2 linked regions of the Drosophila melanogaster genome follow. The protein of the gene in region 2 interacts with the protein of the main gene of each other region in a pairwise test. Each region holds a gene or a part of one and is shown on either strand. Other genes may lie near its edges.

The links.
Region 1: the proteins of robl (region 2) and CG13074 interact in a two-hybrid assay, tested with the Drosophila melanogaster proteins (2 studies listed by BioGRID).

The regions. Positions count from the first base shown.
Region 1 is NT_037436.4:16,094,448-16,099,319, reverse strand, and holds CG13074 (uncharacterized protein), read left to right. Parts: upstream 1-1,826; 5' UTR 1,827-1,830; coding exon 1,831-2,654; intron 2,655-2,727; coding exon 2,728-3,004; intron 3,005-3,064; coding exon 3,065-3,258; exon of another isoform or gene 3,259-3,263; intron 3,264-3,316; exon of another isoform or gene 3,317-3,318; coding exon 3,319-3,379; 3' UTR 3,380-3,552; downstream 3,553-4,872. Other genes in the region: ATPsynbetaL (ATP synthase, beta subunit-like), read right to left, coding at 1-771, 928-1,322, 1,386-1,416; ClC-c (chloride channel-c), read right to left, coding at 4,124-4,214, 4,278-4,491, 4,550-4,713, 4,772-4,872.
Region 2 is NT_033778.4:17,454,180-17,458,557, forward strand, and holds robl (roadblock), read left to right. Parts: upstream 1-2,292; 5' UTR 2,293-2,391; coding exon 2,392-2,394; intron 2,395-2,457; coding exon 2,458-2,536; intron 2,537-2,604; coding exon 2,605-2,816; 3' UTR 2,817-2,950; downstream 2,951-4,378. Other genes in the region: CG10764 (uncharacterized protein), read left to right, coding at 48-653, 730-778, 874-1,010, 1,069-1,445; robls54B (roadblock similar 54B), read right to left, coding at 1,585-1,899, 1,959-1,982.

The DNA.
Region 1 (4,872 bases), on a different chromosome or scaffold from region 2:
AGTGATGGAACCGTTGCGGGTACTAGTGATCCGTTCCTGCATGGTGCCCATGTCGGTTCCTAAGGTAGGCTGATAGCCCACCGCCGAGGGAATGCGCCCGAGCAAAGCCGACACCTCCGATCCCGCCTGGGTGAAACGGAAAATGTTGTCAATGAAGAGCAGCACATCCTGCCCGTCCACGTCGCGGAAATATTCGGCGATGGTCAGTCCGGTGAGCACCACACGGGAGCGAGCGCCCGGGGGCTCGTTCATCTGGCCAAAGACCAGAACCACCTTCGAGGAGTCATCCTCCAGGGAGATGACCTTGGACTCGATCATCTCGTGGTACAGATCGTTGCCCTCGCGGGTACGCTCTCCTGCGCCCACGAACACGGAGTAGCCGCCATGGGACTTGGCTATGTTATTGATCAGCTCCATAATGAGCACCGTCTTGCCCACGCCGGCGCCTCCAAACAGCCCGATCTTACCGCCCTTTACGTAAGGAGCCAGCAAATCAATCACCTTGATGCCAGTGACTAGGATCTCTGGCTTCACGCTCAAGTCGGTCAGCTCCGGGGCTTCGTTATGGATAAAGGAGTAGAAATCCGACTTGACCTCACCGCGATCGTCAATGGGATCGCCCACCACGTTGAGGATGCGTCCCAAAACGGCCTTGCCCACCGCCACACGGATGGGATAGCCGGTATCGAGGACCGGCTGACCACGACGCAGTCCTTCGGTGGAATCCATGGCCACGCAACGGACGATATTGTTGCCCAGATGGTGGAATACCTAAGAAATCGATTAATAGAAGTTAAGTTTAATAATTTTTAAAACTTTTCGAATCTTTAGAAGTTATGTTAAAATCCGTTTTAAAATTTTAATTAAATATTAGATAATATAATATGAATGTCGTCCGTCTTAAAATTGGTTAATCCTTTGACTTACCTCCAGCACTAGGTTAGCAATGGGAGCATCCTGCACCTGGAGCGCGTTGAGCACCTCCGGAACCTCCTCCTCGAAGTAGACATCGATGACGGGACCGATGACAGCATGGATGACACCCTTGCGACCCTTGCTCTCCAGCTTCTTGCCTCCGCCGTCGGACTTCTTTTCCTCACACTCATCCTCGGCTTCATCCTTCTTCTTAACCAGTTCCGCGTCCGTCTTGCAGACTTCCTGCGGCTCGGGCTCGCACTCATCGCCCGACTTTTTCTTATCCTTGTCATCCCAAAGGGACAGGGAGGCATGAAGGTAGCGGGGAAACACCACAGGATTACCAAGATAGTTGCCCCGGTAACCCCCGGTACCCGGGCCCATCTTCAGGCCAATCCTTGCACATGCTAACATGGTTTTTTTCATTTTCAGAGGAAGCTGGTCATGTGAAATAGGTTCATTCTTCTTACCTGTAGCCATTTTAGCCCATGATACCAACATTTTTACTTTAGTTTTTTATTCTTTCGCTGCTTGGACGTCTTTGCTGCAAATAAAACTTGCTTGTAATGATAGATTCCTTTGACAGATGACAGCAATGCCTACTATAAAGGATTCCCTTAATGCACTTTAAATGGGTTGTCACCTATTTATTTTTTAGGGATATTTGCTTTCTAAAACTTCTTAAAAGTTTGCAATATAAATCCTAAAGTTTTCTTAATTAATTAATTAATATAATATGATTTCTTATATTTTAATTTATTTTCAGGCTGCATTAGATTAAGCTTGGATTCATAATCGATCCTCAGATATGTTTTCCTTTAGCTCTATTTTAGGGTTGAGTCAGTTGGTTTCCAAGGATACCGATAGCCACAAAGCTCTGAAGCCAAAACAGTAAGGTTTTCAAGCTGATGGAAAATGGACGTACTATCGCATTACAGCTCACCCATAGTTGAATTTCCGGCCACGCAGCCTTTGGAGAAGCAGCATGCCCTGGTGGACAACTGTACGGGCACCGATCCACCTCCTCCCAGCCAAGATGCCGCCACAGGAACGCAGGAGAAGCTGCATGTGGCCACACAAACAGAGCAACGAGTAGTTAGTAGTAAGGATGTGGAATACGATGAGAGGGCTTTGGCGAAGTGGTTGCGACAGATCTGCCCCATGGTCGAACGGGAGCTAATGAATCCCACGCCTCTGATGGAGGATCTAACGATGAGCCAGTGCCGCTTGGAGGAGAAACTGCAGGTGTACACGTACCAGAAACTGATAATGGGTGGTGCAGAAAACTCGCAAGGACTGGCTATCTGGCTGTGTGTGCATACGAATAACGCCCCAGTTCTGGTGGCCACCACTGTAGCTCCCCATGATGACTGGTGCGAGCATGTGGATCAGCAGCTAAAACTCTTTGTTCCCCAAAGAATGTCCGTTGGCAACTTGGTGATTTATACAGAGGCCAAAACTCTACCCCTAAAATCCTGTTTGCGAAGTCTGTGCACAAATCCGTTCAACAAGACCATGTTCGCTGGTTCGACCATGGACGGAGAGCTCTTCATCTGGTTATATGAGCAGGCGAGGGGTTCCGATTCCAGCGTCGATATCAAACAGCTATACAGTGTATCCTCCACCCAGGGAGCTGCAGTGGCTCTGGACTGGCCGCGGGAACATCTTCTGTTGGCCTGCTTTGCCAATGGCAGCGTTCGCCAGTGGGATTTAAGCAGGCAGATGGCTCTGGATTGGGAGTGAGTCTCTCTAAACACTAAACGAAACATTTCCCGGCATTAATCTTAAATATTATTTAATTAACTTCTCCAGATACACCCTGCCCGCAACGGTTAGCTCAGAGCCTACGGCAATGGTGACCCTTGGTCTGGATGACTTCGTCGTGGGCACTAACGATGGTGGCGTCTATCGCTGCTGGAACACCGGCCGGCAAACCGCAGCCATCAAGCAGATCAAATTGTTGGCCCTACGGCGACATCGATTCATGGTTTCCACCCTCCTCCGTACCGAAATGGAGGGCAACCTGTTCGTCCTGAGCTGCGATCTCAGTGGACAGGCCTTTTATCACGATATGCGGCTTGTGGATGAGGTGATAACATGACAAACAAACGAGCTGAACACTATTTATTTTCTCTTAAATAATGAACAGGACATGGCTCAGTTGATAGTACAAATTCCACTTCCCTTTAAAAACGTAATCGCCTGTAGTCGGGATGGCAACATCATCTTTTGCCCAGCCAATGATGGGTCACTGGAATACTATAGGGTGAGCGATGGAGCCCATGCCCATGTCAAGGGAGGACTTCGCGGCAAGGGAAGCCTTATCCGTAGTAGCGACAATGGGTGAGCTAATAACGAAGGAAATCAATAAAACAACAAATTTGAATAATAATTATCTTACAGACGCTGGTTAATTGCAGGCCTCTATGGCGACGAGTTCCAGATATTCTACGTAGAACACTAAATAGTCGTATTGAATTTTGTTCTCAGTTTTGAAATAATCGCTTGTATTTGCATGACTGCTTATGTTAATATGTACGGTTTTATCTTCTCTTAGGTTTGGTATATACACAATTTTATTTTAAAATTTCTCAGATCTCTAACAAATACCACATGTAAATATAGACTATGTATTGTATAAACAAGACATTTTATCTGTGTAGAATTTTGAACAAAATGCAAAAACGTAAAGCCATTTCGAAAATTTGGCGTAAAATAAGACTGCATTCTCTGTGGGAATCTCGTTAAAACCGCGTTTTCACATACGATTCACAAAATAAAATGTTCCTTTTACAACTATAGATCATTTCATAGTGTTATCAAGCTGTATGTGAACATATAAAAAGAAATATGCTGTGTGTAGAAAAGTGCTAGAATGACATAATTACAAAATGGCAATAAATGAATACACTAAACTTTTATAACCATTTGCCTACAGTAAAATAAATTATACAATTAACATTAACGAGATATATGCGATATATAAATATATAATAGAACTGCACACAATTTTGCTAAATCTCTCACGTCCGAACGTCCGATCCTATCTGTCCTAATCACGCGATTCCACTCTAATCCATTTCAGTCCACTTTGCATCCACTCGTTCAACTTTTCACTTAAGCTTAGATTGCAATCTGCATTTTGCACATAGTTCACATAATAATAACTAGAAGCAGCGCTCGCCCAACTTCTGATTGGCTGATAAATTCAGTTGAAGAGCACCGTATTGGGATCTTCGTTATCCATCTGCTTCACATGGCGCAGCACATCTTTCTTTGTAATTACGCCCAGTAGGCGACTGCAATGGAATTTGGATTAGATAACTTGAAACTGGTTAAACTGCTTCTGGCCACAAACTCACCCGTTGTGTGTTACCAATGTTTGGCGCAGTCCCAGCTTTCGGAACATGTCCACTACCGTCTCCATTGGCGTTTGATCTGTAACTGTGATCGGTGCCATATCCAGGATCTTTTTCAGCTTCAGCGGCTGGGGTCCCAGATTTTGAATAGGCTGGGATGATGTGAATAATACTATGGAGCTGCTGCTAATGCCCTCGATTAGACGCTTGGCATTGCCTATAAAATTTGTAATATTTAATTATGCAACATGATCTCGAAACAAGTTGTGACTGACCTATGGCCAAGTTAAGATCCCTGCGCAATACAAAGCCCACTAAATATTGATTCTCCCGCGACACCACCACCGGATAGCCATTGTGTTCCGTTTCTTTAAGAAGGTTCTCAACATCGTCCACCGTCATGGAGTCTTGGGTAATGACATTCAAAGTTTCATTCCGCCTAAAATGAAGTTTTTGTTAGATGATCTTGAGGAAAAAAAGGTTTTCTTTATACATACTTTGGTTGCATCACATCTGCGGCCAGTGTTGTATGCGCAAACTCTTCTTTGCTGTCTAGGAACGGATAACCATTCAGCGCAATGTGCGCATCGTAGATACC
Region 2 (4,378 bases):
TATGCAATTTAACCACCGTAGCCCCATTTCAATGCATTTCTTCGCAGTTCGAGTTCAACCAATTTGCATCTTTTTGGATCCGGCTCTCAAAGGGAGTGTTGAAAAATTGAAAACGTTCAGAGCCCTTGGCTGGGGAAATAGGAACGGAAAATTGAGCATAATGTTGCAAACCATCTATCTTCTACACTTGAAAAGAAATGAGTGCAAACGCAAATTGAACTTTAATCTCAATTCAAGACAGATTTGCGCTGGAACCAAAAATGGAGACACCTGTAGAGGCGATTCTGGGGGTCCCTTGTCCACGAATATATTGTTTCCTTCCAATAAAAGTTATGAGGTGCAGTTAGGAATCGTAAGCTTTGGGGATCCAGAATGCCGTGGAGTAGGAGTCTATACCGACGTGACCAGCTATGTGGATTGGATCTCATCGACAATAGCTAGAAATGACTACCTACCAATCGGCGTGTCCGGGGGAGACATTGCCATGGGCAATCCCATTGCTCCTGACGCTAATCGGCACTGGACTCCTGCGGCTTCACCACCACTTCCTTCGATGTTGTACAATAGCTGCAGTCAGGATATCGCGGCACCGATCGCGCAGCTAAGAATTTATTGGCCTGGTTCTTATGCCGTTGGCGTATTAATAACAGATCGTAAGTATACTCTTTCACTCGAGAATTCCACAATTAAATGAGTATAAATTTAACAAGATTGAGTTTCTTTTCTTAGAATTGATCATCGCTGCTGCCACAGACCTGCCCACAGTTGCCGCCTATTTGTAAGTTGTTCGAAGGATTATCCCTTGTGCATTAACTGCTATTTTTCACATTAGTTACTAGTTTATTTTGATACCATTTTAAATTAATTATTCAGATACGTGTTCGTAGTGCTCGAAGGAATAAGCGCAATCAACCAAATTGAATCGGTTTCAAAGCACCCAAATTTTACTACGAATGATTACCGAAATGACATAGCAGTACTCAAACTTGTTCGATCAATAAGCAGCACAGGTAGAACATACCTACTATCATAGCAATTGCCTCGATTTACAGTTATATTCTTTTACAGCAATGAAACCCATCTGCATTTTGACAACGCAAATATACCAGCAAAACGCCGAAAAGGCTCGAGAATTGAAAATAATTGATACAGATTTAGCTGAACAATTCGACGTCAGGCTAATGGAAGGGAGCCAATGCGCGAAACATCTCGGATTTCAAATCAACGAAAATCAAGTGTGCATGGTAGATCCATCCGACACAAGTAATCCCCGCCAGAAACGTAGCTACATAGTGGTTGGAGGGATGAATGCCAATGGCCAGATACGCTACATTTTGGTGGGCATTTTCAGTTTTTCATCGAAAAACATACTCGTTTTTACGAATGTTATGAGGCACACGGATTGGATTCTTTCCTTGCTATATTCGTTAAATACGTCATCTTAAAATATTTAAATGCCTTAAAAATGTAAAAGCACGTGTAAATACCAATTACTGACATACGAGTGATTGGTACATGTTTTAATAATAAAGTAACATACGCTAACGAATAAGAAATTGTCTTTGAGAAATCTAAAATATTTAATCATTTTTCGAAGTAATCATGCGCGTTCTGTACTACGAGTAGTGTTATCTTGGAGTCTGGCACCAGGAGCACCTCGTTGGTTCTTGTGCGTATTCTCAGCATTAGTAGTTCGTCCGTGGGATCTATTTTACTCATACCGCGTTCCAGTCTTCCTCGAATAGCCTGAAAAGGTCCCGAAAATTGGACAGCATCCTCTCGGTCCATCGTACTCATCACCGGATGTCCCGACTCGTTGAGGATCACTACATCTCGAACATGTTTTTTCGATTTGACCAGGTCGAATGCTTTTTCCACATATCGTAGAGTTCGAGGTGGCTATTTAATGATGTAACCTATAAATAAATATAATTACATTCAATATGGAAATATTTTACCTTTTGTGGAAGATCCGGAAACATATTTCTCGTCTGCTTTGAAACACCTTGAACTTCGTAGTAACGGTTTCGTGAATTTTTAACCTAATTTTTTTTGTTTTCTTGGTTTCCAAGGTGCGTGTTGCTATATGGGTCAATATGCCAGATTAAACAATTCTGTGTAGTTGTTATTAATGTATTGTTAGTAAATAATAAACTTATTAAATTATTCAATCACAAATATTTTGATAATTACCGTTGCAAATTTTTTTCTCATTGAAAACTTCATATCGATATTTTCTGTTAACTTATGTGGAAATCTGTTAAATTAACAATGAACAATGTGCCATCACTGACAGTGCATCTCTAATATTGAACAAACAAAGTTTACTATTTCATTGAACTGCAGGTAGCGGTAGTGTCTGCCGTGTTTCCAACAAAATTATAAGAAAAAATGGTAAGTAAGAGTTGTGCATACACAAAAACATTAAGAAAATAACGTTACCTTCATGGCTTACAGTCGCAGGAGGTTGAGGAAACACTCAAGAGAATCCAGAGCCACAAAGGTGTTGTGGGTACAATTGTGGTCAACAATGAAGGTGGGTGGTTCAACTGCACCCCAGTGTGTGCTAAGATATCTAACTAATTCTCAACGCCTCCCAAATAGGTATTCCGGTCAAATCCACGCTGGACAACACTACCACCGTTCAGTACGCTGGCCTAATGAGTCAGCTGGCGGACAAGGCACGAAGTGTGGTGAGGGACTTGGATCCTTCCAACGACATGACATTCCTGCGGGTGCGATCCAAGAAGCACGAGATCATGGTGGCACCCGACAAGGACTTCATCCTGATTGTCATCCAAAACCCAACCGACTAAATGGCATGGTGCATCGCGACTATTGCTGAATTATCTGCACATTTATATCTGTATTCTAATCATCAGCGTATAAATGGAAAGTTAAATTATAATGTAATGAAATTGTACTCCATACAATAAATATATTTATGCATAAAATGACATCACGTAAACATTTTGGGCTCTGTAAACTTCAGGTGTTTTCAGCTGTTAGTCCGCTATAACTATTGATAGGGGCATTCATTCTTTATTTTCAAAAACTGAAATATGCGTTCTCTAATTGAAACAAATGACTCCAAAAGATAAATTTATTTTAACGCTAATTCTAACACGAACAATTAATTATTATAATATTATTATAATTATTGAAGTTGTTTGATGTTTGGGTAGTTGGTTTAAGCATCCGCTTCACCGACGTATTTATCGAATACTTTCGAAGCGAGAGATATGTATTCTCTTGTTACCTTTGAAATTGTTTCCGTTGCTATTAGGTGAACATTTATGTTATGTTGGCAATTAAAGACTACCACGGCTTGTACATAATTGGAAAGATTACAATAATTACAACGGTGTGGTAATTATATCCTTTAAAAACCATATGCAGGGACAGAAGGTATCGAATATGTATAAAATAACTTCGATAGTAGCAAAGTCCCAGACTATCGATGTTTGGCCATCGTCGTTGCACGCCACGGTCACACTGATGCAAAGTCGAGGAAGACGGATTCGTGTGTCGGTGAAAACCCGTGAGTTTTGCGTACTTGCATTTAAAGAAAACCCCTCAACGGAATAGTCAATAAATTGATTGGAGAGCCCAATCAGCCACCGTTTCGACCCAGTGTACGCGTGTGCAGCGAGTTAAGAGATCCACCGATCGATCAAATCGTATTGAAAAAAGGTAATTCGAAAGATGGGCGTGCAGCGAAAAGCGAACGAGTAAAGAAAATGGCGTAATCACGCACTTCGAAACCCAAAAGGCAGCCAGCAAACGCAACGCAAACGGAATCCAAATCCACGAACCCTCAATCGGCCAGTCAGCATTACTTTGGGTGAAAAAACGAGCTATATGAACGTGAAAAAAGTGAATAAAAAACGTAAAAAAAATGTGCTGCAGCCATATTTGTTCCGTGAAAATGAAAACGATACACACACACACACGGGCAAAGTCGAGTGTATATAGTCGTCGGTGCATATATATCTGTCTATACATATGTGCTAAGAATTAACTAAATAAAATGAAGCACTTCGTATCGGATCGTCATCGCACCGTTTCGTTGTTCGCAATTTCATTTCATTTCCAACGCGATTCTCGTTCAACGTACGTTGGTACATAGCCTGCCGTACATACATACGTACTTATGTATGTACACATGTACTTTCAATATCGACGATGGCATCACAAAAACACGACGCGCACACAGACACGCACGCACGTACCGTACAAACAAACAGACGTGCGGACACAGAGCAGGGTCTGTATGTACGTACGTGTGTTTATATATGGGACTGGTTGTTGTTGTACATAACGGAGAGTTGAACACATAAGGGCTGGCTGGCTCAATATAGAAAGAAGCATGTGGCTG